Macaca fascicularis: one gene and its partners. The protein of the gene in region 1 purifies or fractionates together with the protein of each later gene. This does not show direct contact. Links are inferred from orthologs where the notes say so. Each region holds a gene or a part of one and is shown on either strand. Other genes may lie near its edges.

Region 1 (3,648 bases):
CCCGCGCGGCCCGATGAACAGCGGCACCGGGGCCACCTGCGCGAGCTGGCCCACGTGCTGCAATCCAAGCACCGGGACAAGTACCTGGTGAGGGGCGGGGCCATCAGGAGTCAGCCAATGAGAGGGGCGTGGGGTCCAGATGGGCGAGGCTAATCACTGACGTCACCAGTGGAGGCGAGGCCGCCAGTGGGCGGGACCAGAGGAGTGGGGGTGGGGTGGGGTGGGGGCGGGGGCGGGGGCGGGGGTGGGGTGGGGGCGGGGGTGGGGTGGGGGCGGGGGCGGGGGTGGGGTGGGGGCGAGGGTGGGGCGGGGGCGGGGCCCGCAGTGGCGCCTGGAGCGGAGCGGAGTATCCAGGAGCGCTGGCGACTTGGCTGTGACTGGCTAGGCCGGGCCTTAACTACCTTCTTATTTTCTTTCTTTCTTTACTTTTTTTTTTTTTTTTGGTGACGGGTCTCTCTTTGTTGCCCAGGAGGTGATCCGCCCGCCTCGGTCTTCCAAAGTGCTGGGGTTACAGGCGTGAGCCACTGCGCCAGGCCTGCACTTTGTTTTAGAGGAAGATTCTTTTTTTTTCTTTTTTTTTTTTTTTTTTTTTTTTTTTTTGGTGTTGTTTTGAGGCAGAGTCTGCACTCTGTTGCCCAGGCTGGAGTGCAGTGGCGCGATCTCGGCTCACTGCAAGCTCCACCTCCCGGGTTTGCGCCATTCTCCTGCCTCAGCCTCCCGAGTAGCTGGGACTGCAGGCACCCGCCACTGCGCCCGGCTAATTTTTTGTATTTTAGTAGAGACGGGGTTTCACCGTGTTAGCCAGGATGGTCTCGATCTCCTGACCTCGTGATCCGCCCGCCTCGGCCTCCCAAAGTGCAGGGATTACAGGCGTGAGCCACCGCGCCCGGCCTAGAGGAAGATTCTTAACTTAGGATCCACCTCCACCTCGTGCCTCATTGCCGGAGGTCCCTTCTGTCTAAAGCCCTCCCCCTTTATTTCAGCTCTTCAACCTTTCAGAGAAAAGGCATGACCTGACCCGCTTAAACCCCAAGGTATGAAGGAAATGGCTTGCCCAGTCATTAAACCAAGCCACCCCTACCCCAGAAGCCCCCAGCTTCCTCGTTATTAATAGTAGCGATTGGCATCTACTTCACTCTTAAGCACCTTCCCCCTCTCGCATGACATATTACTGGAGACACCCCAAAACGTGATGCAGCAGGTATCAGCCCATTGTATAGATAAGGAAAGTGCTGAGGTTATCATGGAGAACCAGCAGATCCCCAGCCTTGCCCCCAGACCCGTATGCCCTGTCCCCTTTCCACACCGCCTGTGTCTCTCTGTTGGTGGGCCCCAGCCCCAGTTGCACCCCTGCACTCTCCCCAGGTTCAGGACTTCGGCTGGCCTGAGCTGCATGCTCCACCCCTGGACAAGCTGTGCTCCATCTGCAAAGCCATGGAGACATGGCTCAGTGCTGACCCACAGCACGTGGTCGTACTATACTGCAAGGTGGGCCAGGACCTCGGGTTCCCTGGTGCCTGGAGGCTCCAGGTCAGCCTGGAGCCCCCAGACCCTCATCCCTGTCTCTGTCTCTCAGGGAAGCAAGGGCAAGCTCGGGGTCATCGTTTCTGCCTACATGCACTACAGCAAGATCTCTGCAGGGTGAGGCTCCCAGCACCGGAGTAGCCCCTTCCCCAGTGGCCCTTTCTCCAGCTGGCCCCTTAGGAACCATCTCCCCTGGAGCCCACCTCTTCATTGAGAGTCCTTTGCTGTCAAGTTAGCATTTCCACCTCCCTTTTATCACTAGTACAGCAACACAGTCTGCAGCAGATGGTCTGTAAAGTTTCCTAGGGCAGCCACAAACAGGGTGGTGTAAAACAGTGGAAATGGGCCAGGTGCCGTGGCTCACACCTGTAATCCCAGCACTTTGGAAGGCCGAGGTGGGCGGATCACCTGAGGTCAGGAGTTTGAGACCAGCCTGGCCAACATGATGAAACCCTGTCTCTACTAAAAATATAAAAATTAGCAGGGTGTGGTGGTGGGTGCCTGTAATCCCAGCTACTCAGGAGGCTGAGGGAGGAGAATCGTTTGAACGCGGGAGGCGGAGGTTGCAGTGAGACCACATGGTGCCACTGGACTCCAACCTGGGCAACAGCGAGACTCCATCTCAAAAACAAAACAAAACAAAACAAAAACCGGTGGAAATATACTGTCTCACAGTTCTGGAGGCCAGAAGCCCCAAATCAAGCTGTCGGCAGGCCCTTGCTTCCTCTGAGACTTGAGATGGCATCCTTCCTTGTCTCATTCTACCTTCTGGTGGTGGCCAGCAAGCCTTGGCGTTCCTCGGTTTGCAAACACATCACTGTAATCTCTGCCTCTGTCATCACATGATGTTCTCCCTGTGCATCTCTGTCTGTGTCTCTTCCTCTCTTCTTATAAGGACACCAATCATATTGGATTCAGGGTCCACCCTCCTTCAGTATGAGCTCATCTTAACTAATTATGTCTGCAATGGCCCTATTTCCAAATAAGGTCACATTCTGAGGTACATGTCTTTCGGGGGGATATAATTCAACTCATGAGATGGTTTTGTTGCCCCGTTTTACAGATGAAAAAACTAAAGTTCAGGGAATAATTGCCTGGGGCCCAAAAACTAGTAAAGTGACTGTACATGGTGCTTCTCATTCTCATTACCACCACTCTGGGCTTCCTCTAGACTCAGGGGATCATATCTCTCCTCCCTCCCCTGGGGCTCAGGGATGGGAGGCCAGGATGAAGACTAGTCCCTAATCCTCAACACTGGCCTTGCTGTCCCCAGGGCTGACCAGGCACTGGCTACTCTTACCATGCGGAAATTCTGCGAGGACAAGGTGGCCACAGAACTGCAGCCCTCCCAGCGTCGGTGAGCAGCCTGGGTGGGGATGGGCCAGAGGAGCAGCTCCCTTCATGGCTACCAAGGCCAAGACTCTCGTATCCATGCAGCACACCTTCACTGAGTGTGCCAGGGGCTGTGCCAGGTGCTGAGAATTCAAAGTGGACAAAGCCCCTGCTCTCATGGAGCTTTCATGCTAGTAGGATGGAAGGCAGTAGACCTGGGAATAAATAGACGAGGAGGTCCATCATAAAGAGAACCTTAAGGACAGTCGGGGCCTGCCACTATAAAGTGAAGCAGAGCTCTGGGGAAAGAGCTTTGAGGCAGAGGGGAGCAAGAAGGATTGAGATTAGATGCAAGGAAGAACTTTCTGGTGACCTGGTAGACGGGAAGGAAGTGCTGAGGAGAAGAGCCAGCTTTCTAAGGGTGGATGGTTGAAATGATACAAGGTGACCTCCAGAGGAAAAGGCTTATGTTCTCCTCGACACGCCCTCTGCCAGATACATCAGCTACTTCAGTGGGCTGCTGTCCGGCTCCATCAGAATGAACAGCAGCCCTCTCTTCCTGCACTATGTGCTCGTCCCCACGCTGCCAGCCTTTGAACCTGGCACAGGTGAGTCTGCCTGAGATGTGCTCCCTAGGGAGAGCCACCTTCAGGCCCCTCCACTCAGCACCCCTCCGCGCCTTCTCCTCTGCCCCTCCAGGCTTCCAGCCCTTCCTTAAAATCTACCAGTCCATGCAGCTCGTCTACACGTCTGGAGTCTAGTGAGTGCTCTATTCCCAGGCCCCTGACACTT
Region 2 (4,102 bases), on another chromosome or scaffold:
CACCCAGTGGCTTCAAAATGCAACGTCATAAATCTACTATACTGACTTCCTCACAACTTATAAGAACAAAAACTGCTTGTCTTATACAAAGTGGGAAAATAAAGTAGAACCTGTGTGTTAGGCAAAAAGGCATTCAATAAACATGTTATTATGCTGCCATCTTTCTAAAAGCACACATGGCCTATTTTAGTCCAATAAAGACTGGGAAGCATTTGCTACAAGGTTTTCATTTTACTAGTCTGAATACTAGGTTCAAACTATACCTACACAAAAAGTGGGTTGTTTGTTTTTGAGACGGAGTCTTGCTCTGTCATCCAGGCTAGGCATCCAGGCTGGAGTGCAGTGGTGCCATCTTGGCTCACTGCAATCTCCACCTCCGAGGTTCAATCGATTCTCCTGCCTCAGCCTCCCTAGTAACTGGGATTACAGGCATCTGCCACCATACCCGGCTAATTTTTGTATTTTTAGTAGAGACGAGGTTTCGCCACGTTCTCCTGACCTCAGGTGATCCACCCACCTTGGCCTCCCAAAGTGCTGGGATTATAGGCATGAGCCACCATGCCTGGCCAAAAAGTGTTGGGGTTTTTTTTTTTTTTTTTTTTTTAAACATGGTGTAAAAGGTTCAATTGTCTGCCCACCACAAGTGAGGACTACATAAATAGTGCATTCTGGATGTAAGAATTTATAACCAAATGCTTAGCTAGACCAATTTCAAGGTACATGTTTAGAGTAACAATTTTTTTATACACACACCCAAACCACAATCTTAATTTTACTCCTATTAACACTAATTTCCGAGCAGTGTCTAGCCCCACCTAGACGTGCAATATAAATAAGGTTTATAAATAGGACATTATAAAGGTGGGACACTGGAATTTCACAACTGGTGTACATGAAATCATTTCTGGTAAACCAGTATTTTTCCAAATATTCACAAGCTGATTTATAAGAAAGTGAAAATCCATTGTGCCAAGGTGGACTTCTGGCCCCTCGGTTTGATTGGTCCTTCTTCACCAGCAGCCCCCAGCCCTTCCCTTCTGTCCTTCCTCTGCCAGGAATACCCTCCTGACTCATCCCTGCCTGCCTATGTCCATCACTTCCTTGGAGACCCGGCTCAAGATTTAGCTCCGGGAAAAAGTCCTCCCTGGCTAATTCCATCTCCACTACTTTCTAACTTTGCATTCCTTTGGTATTTAAATATAGTTTGCACGACGTAATCGCCAACTTCATTCCTTTCCTCCCTATAAGTTGTTTTGCATTTTTCTATCATTTCTCCAACTAGAGACCAAGTAGGGACAGCATCTTCTTTTATATTCTTTTCAACACAGCTAGCAATAATCACCAGCGAAAGAAAGCTGACCGCTCAAAAATTTATGAAGAAAGCAACTGACTCTTCGTTTATAATTTACAATATCACCTCCAACATGCATGAGTTCTTAGAGGAGAGGAATTTTATTTTTGCCCTAGTTCAAATTCATCACGAAAGATCCAACTTACAGATCACATACATATAACTTACTGTAAAGAATAACCCTGGTTACTGAAACCTATTTTGTGATTTGCCATTTCAAGTTTCTTACAAAAACCCTAATAGCGCGCCTGTGAGTGGTAGGAAGCTGGCAGCAGACTTGCAAAAGGGGCAAAACTCTAGTTGGCAGTAAATGTTCAAACACGTGAGCCTCCACTGTTAAACAAGGTTCATTAACCACACAGACTTGCTGTTTCAGCTTTCTGGCTTCAATGAAGTGCTATGATCTCCTTTGGTTATTGTTGAGAGCCAATGATGGGTTAAATTCCCATAAATTAACCAGCTCTTTGGTGGGTTGCCCAAGCATACAGCTGGCATCGGTGTGGACGGACTTTTTTTTTTTTTTTTTTAATAGACCCACCCGCCCCGAGGAGCCAGAGGTGAGTGAGTTAAGCGCCAACCCGGCACTTCTCAGCGGGCAAACGGAGACAGACCCACTCGAGCCGTTCGCTCTGCCTCAAGTTCTTAGTGTCAGCTTATCGGGCCGAGAGGAGGCTTCATAGGCAGCTGCTTTTTACTCAGTCTCAGCCGAGTCTTCCTTAGGGGCTGCAAGTAACACTTCGGCGGCTGCCCAACTTTTCCTGCAAGAAGCATCCGTTTTTCCACACTGAAAGCTCCAGAAACCCGGGTTTGGGGAGAGAGGGGGAGAGAACCGGCTCGCCCCGCCGGCGGGGCAAGGAACAAAGTGAGCTCCCGCGAGCCCAGGCCGCCGCGGCCCGCCCACCCTCCCGCCCGCCCGGCCGGCCCCGCTCACCCTCCAGCAGCACCTCCTTGCCCGCGCGCTTCAACGCCTGCACGGCCTGGTCGTGGGTGGCCTGGCGCAGGTCGGTGCCATTCACCGACAGGATGGCGTCGCCCAGCCGCAGCGCCCGGCTCTGGTCGGCGGCCAGCCCCGGGAAGATCTTGGAGATGAGGATCGGCATCCGGTTCTCGCGGCCGCCCTTGATGCTGATGCCCAGGCCGCCCGCCTCCTGCTTCACCACCCGCACCCGGCGCACGGGAGGCGACGCGCCCGCCTCACCCGCGGGGCTCCGAAGTGGCGCCGGCGGGCTTGGGGGCCCCAGGCCGCGGCTTGGGCTCCCGGGCAGCGAGTCGCCCGCGCCGCCGCCGTTCGGGAGGCCGTTGAAGGCGGCTGCCGCGGGTCCCAGAGCGGGCTCCAGCTCGGCCGCGGCGGCGTCGCCCGTCAGGCTCAGGCTCTCCCCGCTCAGCTCGGCCACCACTCGGACCCAGCGCTCCCTCAGGAGCAGCTCCACCAGCCCCGCTTTGGTGGCCCGCGTCCACACCGCCATGGCCGGCCCCGCTCCAGCCGCCGCAGCTACCCTCATTCCAGTCAGGCAGCCTCGGCGCTTCCCCCTTCCCGCCCGGAGGGGCGGGCCCGGCCCCTCCCCCGCGTGATTCATTATTCATGAGGCCACGCCTGCCTCCGGAGGGGCGGGGCCGGCGCAGCCGCTTCCGGGAGGTGCAGAAGTTGTCTGATCCCTTGCCTCTCGCCGGACGTGGGCAGCCCGAGTGCAGTGGGACTGCATTTCTCATTCTCCTTCCATTGGCTCCCCACGGCTCCCCCCGGAAATTCACGGGAGCTGCCCGGGCACGGAAAGTAAAATCAGCTTGGAGTAGCACTTTGCAAGCCTGCAAGACCCGGTGGCACGTTCATTCTTGCATTGATTGGTTCGTACCCTGTATACTGAGCGCTTAGCCCTGTACTCCGGCTCCTTTTGAGGCCCTGTAGATAAGCTTAGTAGTACCAACAACAGCTGAGAGTTTGCGGTCTAGTGGGGAAGGAAAATGCAGAACCAACCAACTAGGTGTGATACTATGTGGTTAAGTGACATGCAGAAAACGTCCCCAGAACAGCATAAAAGGAACATTTGGTTAGGCCCGGGGTCAGCTTCACAGAGGTGACAACGGAGGGTGAACAGCTCAAGCAAAGGTCCAACAGTATGATCCAAGCCTTTGTCAATGTTTTGTAATCTCGTTTACTTGCCTGTAATTCAAGAGGGAACCATGTTTTCTTAAAACTCTGAAGCCACAATTGGCAGGCCTCAAGGATATTTGCAGAATGATGGTGTCTTATGGTTCTTCAGAGAAACCAATCAATAGGATATATAGAGATATATAAATTTATTATTATTATTATTATTATAAGGGACTGGCCACGAGATTATGGATGCTGAGAAGTTCCACGATCTGCCATCTGCAAACTGGAGACCCAGGAAAGTTGGTGGTGCACTTCCAATCCAAGCCCAAAGGCCTGAGACGCAGGGGAACCAGTGGTGTAAACCTGGGCCCGGCGCGGTGGCTCAAGGCCGGGCGCGGTGGCTCAAACCTTTAATCCCAGCACTTTGAGAGGCCGAGGTGGGTGGATCACCTGAGGTCATGAAGTCATGAGTTCGAGACAAGCCTGACCAACATGGAGAAACACCATCTCTACTAAAAATACAAAAAATTAGCCGGGCATGGTGGCACAATCCCAGCTACTCGGGAGGCTGAGGCAGGAGAATTGCTTGAACCCAGGAGCGGAGGTTGCAGTGAGCTGAGATGGCGCCACTGTACTCCAGCCTGGGCAACAAGAAC
Region 3 (4,210 bases), on another chromosome or scaffold:
TCATAGCATAGAGGGACACTGATGCTAACATGTAGACTTAGAGCCAAATCAGCCCCACAACAATTGTTTTCATTTTTTTCATTTTGTTTTATGAAAATTTTGCTTATATGCATATTTAGACAACCACACAGAGGAAAGGAGGTGACCTAGGGAAAAGAATGTTTTCAATTAAAATTAAGCCTTATGTTTTATCTCATACACATTTTGCTGGGGAAAATAGCCATGTTATGACAATAATATTCTAAAACGCAAAATGTATAATTAACTATTAAGGTAAACATCACAGTCTGACTCTATAATTTTTTTTTATTTTTGTCTATTACTCATTTCAGTCGCAAGCAGTTGAATGTTTGACATAGAAAAATGAGTCTGTCACTTTAACAAATGGTACAATAAAAACACTCAAACAAAAATTTTAGTAGGGATTATTATAACTATAAAAAGAATATCTTTCTTTAAAAAATGCTACCAATGTTTTCTATCAATTTGGGGCTCGCCTGTTGCATAAAAGTAATAAGGAACAAGATGAAGAAGACTTCTATTGGCAAAGAATGATTTACATGCTGAATGACATAATACAACTGCATTCACTTAATACAGAAAAAAAAGAGCCTGCATTCAGAACCATTAAATGATCATTAACTCAATGTCTAAGAAAATGGTGTTTTAAGAATTGGCAGCAGAGAAATGGAAGAAAGAATAATTTGTTAGTAAAGAAGTTTTATCATAATTCACAACTGAAATTTAGGATTTGAGAAAAATGTCTTTGCTCCATTATAAGAATATTCTTTATTTTAGCAGGAAAACATGTCCCATGAGACCTACACACACATTCTGCCTTCAGAATTCAGCTGCTGTGTTCTGCTGCTGCTTCTCTTATTCAGACTGTTGGCATCATCAATACATGACTTTTGCAATCAAAAATCTCAAGGGGAAAAAATAACTTTGGTAGGCAGTGGATACATAACAAATGCATAGATTATTCTGGGCATTTCTTTTTATTTGGTAGAGTGAAATTTTTGGTGTTGTTGAGAGGATAAAAAAGGCATTTAAAAGTCAATTTTAAATCGGGATTTTCTGCTCTGTTATAAATTCACATGAAAGTTACAGAAAATATTGTTATGGTTTTGTACTGAATAGTTTTTGTGTTTGGAAGGCTTTAAAAGCTAGTACTATGTCCACTGTGCTATTCTGGTTTGGATATTAATCAGAACACAGTTGAGCATTATTTGAATTCACAGAGCTTGCCATGCTGGAAGCACAACCTTATATGTAGTGACCATGGACAGTCCTATTATGGGAAACCAACTTGAGAGAGAAGGCGGGTCACTTGCTTGTGCGCAGGTCCTGGAATTTGAAATATCCAGGGGCCTCTACAGAATCCTGGCATCAGTTACTGTGTTGACTCACTCAGTGTTGGGATCACTCACTTTCCCCCTACGGGACTCAGATCTTAGAGGCAATTACCTTCAGAGAAAAATGAATAGGAAAAACTGAAGTGTTATTTTTTTAAAGCTGCTGAAGTTTGTTGGTTTCTCATTGTTTTTAAGCCTACTGGAGCAATAAAGTTTGAAGAACCTTTACCAGGTTTTTTTAATCGCTGCCTTGATATACACTTTTCAAAATGCTTTGGTGGGAAGAAGTAGAGGACTGTTGTAAGTACAAAGTAACTAAAAATGTATTTTACTGTGGCATAATGTTTAGTTTGTGACAAACTCACTAATTAGGTAGATTGATTTTAAATTATCACAGTAGTTTGCAAAGAAGCATAAATGTTATATATACTGCATATATATATGTATTTATTCAGGAATATATATTTTTCATTGGGAAAACTTTTCAATAGAAATTGAGTTTATAAGTTTTTCTTTGCAGAAGAATTAAACACATGATTTCTTGATTAATAAGCCACTGCAGTAATAGAATATGCAGAATGTCATTTGATTATAACAGATTATTTTGATTGCTGTGAGATAGTTTGTATATCTCAGTTATTATTTTGACTAGTTGATACTTCTGTATTTAGTAACAGTTACATAAAGGTTACTGACCTGACATATATTCTCAATTGAACTAACTACTGTATAGGAACTACATGGAGGCCTAAAAGTTAGGAGAAGTTTCTCTGACATATGGAGAAAATAAAGAATAAAATGAGTTGGGATGGAAAATTGAAGGATGTGAAAAGTATTGATAAAGATTTAATTGTAATGTTGCTTTCTCACATTTACTATTTCAAATGCTCTTTTCTATAGCATACCATGATGATTATTTCAAATAATGATGTGATCTATGCTATCAAATGATCAGATGATCTCTTGGGAAAACAACATACAAACTTGAGGAACTCCTAATTATGTTTAGTAGTAAATTATATTTAGTAGATGTTTCAAGTCTATCATGAGCTAGCTTTTCAGTTCAATTTTTTAGTTTGTCTTCCATATAGAAATGCAACTATTTTGTTTATTTTTAAGAAAGTCATGATGACTATTGAAGGATTTAAAAATGGACTGTGGCACAACAGTAAAAATAATATATGATAAGGACTGTGTGTCCCAAAAAGATGGGAGTTTATCTCTTCCCCACCTATCTTTGACTTGTGGAGTATAGTTATTCTAAAATAGATATGAGAGCGATGCCTATAATTAAGAATGAAAAAATAAGTCTCTCCAAATAAGTAATGCTCCACAACTACTAAAAAAAAAAAAAAAAAAGGCAGACGTTTTACCACTGTGAAAAATTTGTGGAAATAAGTTAACATTGTCCATGTATTGAGTCACATTAAAAGCTACCAGATTTTATAATACAACATTTAGTTACATTGTTTGCTTGCTTCATAAATTTCTTTTGGTGAGTATCATTATTGCTTTTAGATTGAAAAACTATTATATTTACTATCATTACAAAAATATGCATGGCATATATCTGTTGTTTGCAATATACACATATACACATATTTTTATTTATCATTTTTATTTCTTTGATATATGTAATATAAATACTATCAAAATCGCTAGTGATTTTATATATATATATATATTCTATATAATTAACCACATATACCAGTATATAGAGCAATTTTGAAAGAATATATGCAATTCTGCTGGAATGAAGCAAGGTAAACCTATCCTCTGCTTTGTCATAGATAGTTGAAAAACTTTCAGTTCTTCGAATGTGAAGGAAGGTAATCTTTTTGGAACATGTCCTGTAGGATTTTTTCACACTGCATTTAAAAAATCATCAAGTAATGCCTATGCAACATGACAATGAGTTTGTTAAGGAAAATGGAGATATACTCAGGGCTATATTATACATTAAATTTTGTTGCTTGACAATATACTACTATTTGGATGTCTGACATTTGAATCTGGTTTGTAAATTCGCCTTAGTTTGAAAAACTTATAAAAGTACATTTTGTTTTTTAAACAGAATAGTTACTCTGTAAAAGAGATCACTGTATTGTCAAACACATTGTATTGTTTACTTTTAGAATTACTCAAATAATGCATTGTAAAGAATTATTCAAATAGTGTATGGCAAATAGATATTTCATTTGAATATATTTAAATGATGTAAGTCATCTTGAGGTCTAACAAAATCATCTTTTAGAATTTCATTTGCAGAATCTTTTAAAGACATCTTAACTATGAAAAAGAGATCGCTGATCTAAATTGATGATATACTGTTAATACAAAGTTTTGGTGTATCTTACATGGCATAACATTATGAAAAATACAACAGAGTATGTCATATAGATGTTATTCTAAACTTTAAAAAAGACTACAAAGTGTTTTATGCATAATTACATTATTTAAGGGGAAATAGGTGTTGGTTGACACTTCTAGCTAGACAGTACTGAATTGCAAATTCATCATTTGGGCAGAGATATTAATACAGCTTCCTCTTTATTCCTATAGCATTCATTTGAAATCCCTGTACTCCACGTCATTTGCTATATATGAAACAAATTGTCAAGTTTTTAACCACTTGTGTAGTTTAATAAAAGAGATTAAAATCATTGCCTTGGAAACATCAGGTGTTTTTCAAAATTCTATTTTATTATCTTTCATCAAAATTTTATCTCAAGAGTAAAACAAACTGATTTCCCAAACTTTCCTTCTCCTCCCACTTTCTATTGTAATATTTTCCTAACTTATTAAAAATGATTTATCATACTCTTTCATCAATTTATTCTTTATTTCATCACACA

The links.
Region 2: the proteins of TNS2 (region 1) and SNTB2 purify together in Homo sapiens (affinity purification with mass spectrometry; 4 studies listed by BioGRID and IntAct, with this or other methods). This does not show direct contact. The link is inferred for Macaca fascicularis from reciprocal best matches to the Homo sapiens genes TNS2 and SNTB2.
Region 3: the proteins of TNS2 (region 1) and DMD purify together in Homo sapiens (affinity purification with mass spectrometry; 3 studies listed by BioGRID and IntAct, with this or other methods). This does not show direct contact. The link is inferred for Macaca fascicularis from reciprocal best matches to the Homo sapiens genes TNS2 and DMD.

What each region holds. Positions count from the first base shown.
Region 1 is NC_088385.1:59,846,322-59,849,969, forward strand, and holds part of TNS2 (tensin-2), read left to right. Parts: coding exon 1-87; intron 88-983; coding exon 984-1,034; intron 1,035-1,365; coding exon 1,366-1,488; intron 1,489-1,576; coding exon 1,577-1,641; intron 1,642-2,797; coding exon 2,798-2,881; intron 2,882-3,351; coding exon 3,352-3,464; intron 3,465-3,555; coding exon 3,556-3,616; intron 3,617-3,648. UniProt on the Homo sapiens protein: Tyrosine-protein phosphatase which regulates cell motility, proliferation and muscle-response to insulin. Phosphatase activity is mediated by binding to phosphatidylinositol-3,4,5-triphosphate (PtdIns(3,4,5)P3) via the SH2 domain.
Region 2 is NC_088394.1:65,293,379-65,297,480, reverse strand, and holds the start of SNTB2 (beta-2-syntrophin), read right to left. Parts: upstream 2,857-4,102; 5' UTR 2,854-2,856; coding exon 2,283-2,853; intron 1-2,282. UniProt on the Homo sapiens protein: Adapter protein that binds to and probably organizes the subcellular localization of a variety of membrane proteins. May link various receptors to the actin cytoskeleton and the dystrophin glycoprotein complex.
Region 3 is NC_088395.1:33,307,126-33,311,335, reverse strand, and holds the start of DMD (dystrophin), read left to right. Parts: upstream 1-1,388; 5' UTR 1,389-1,624; coding exon 1,625-1,655; intron 1,656-4,210. UniProt on the Homo sapiens protein: Anchors the extracellular matrix to the cytoskeleton via F-actin. Ligand for dystroglycan.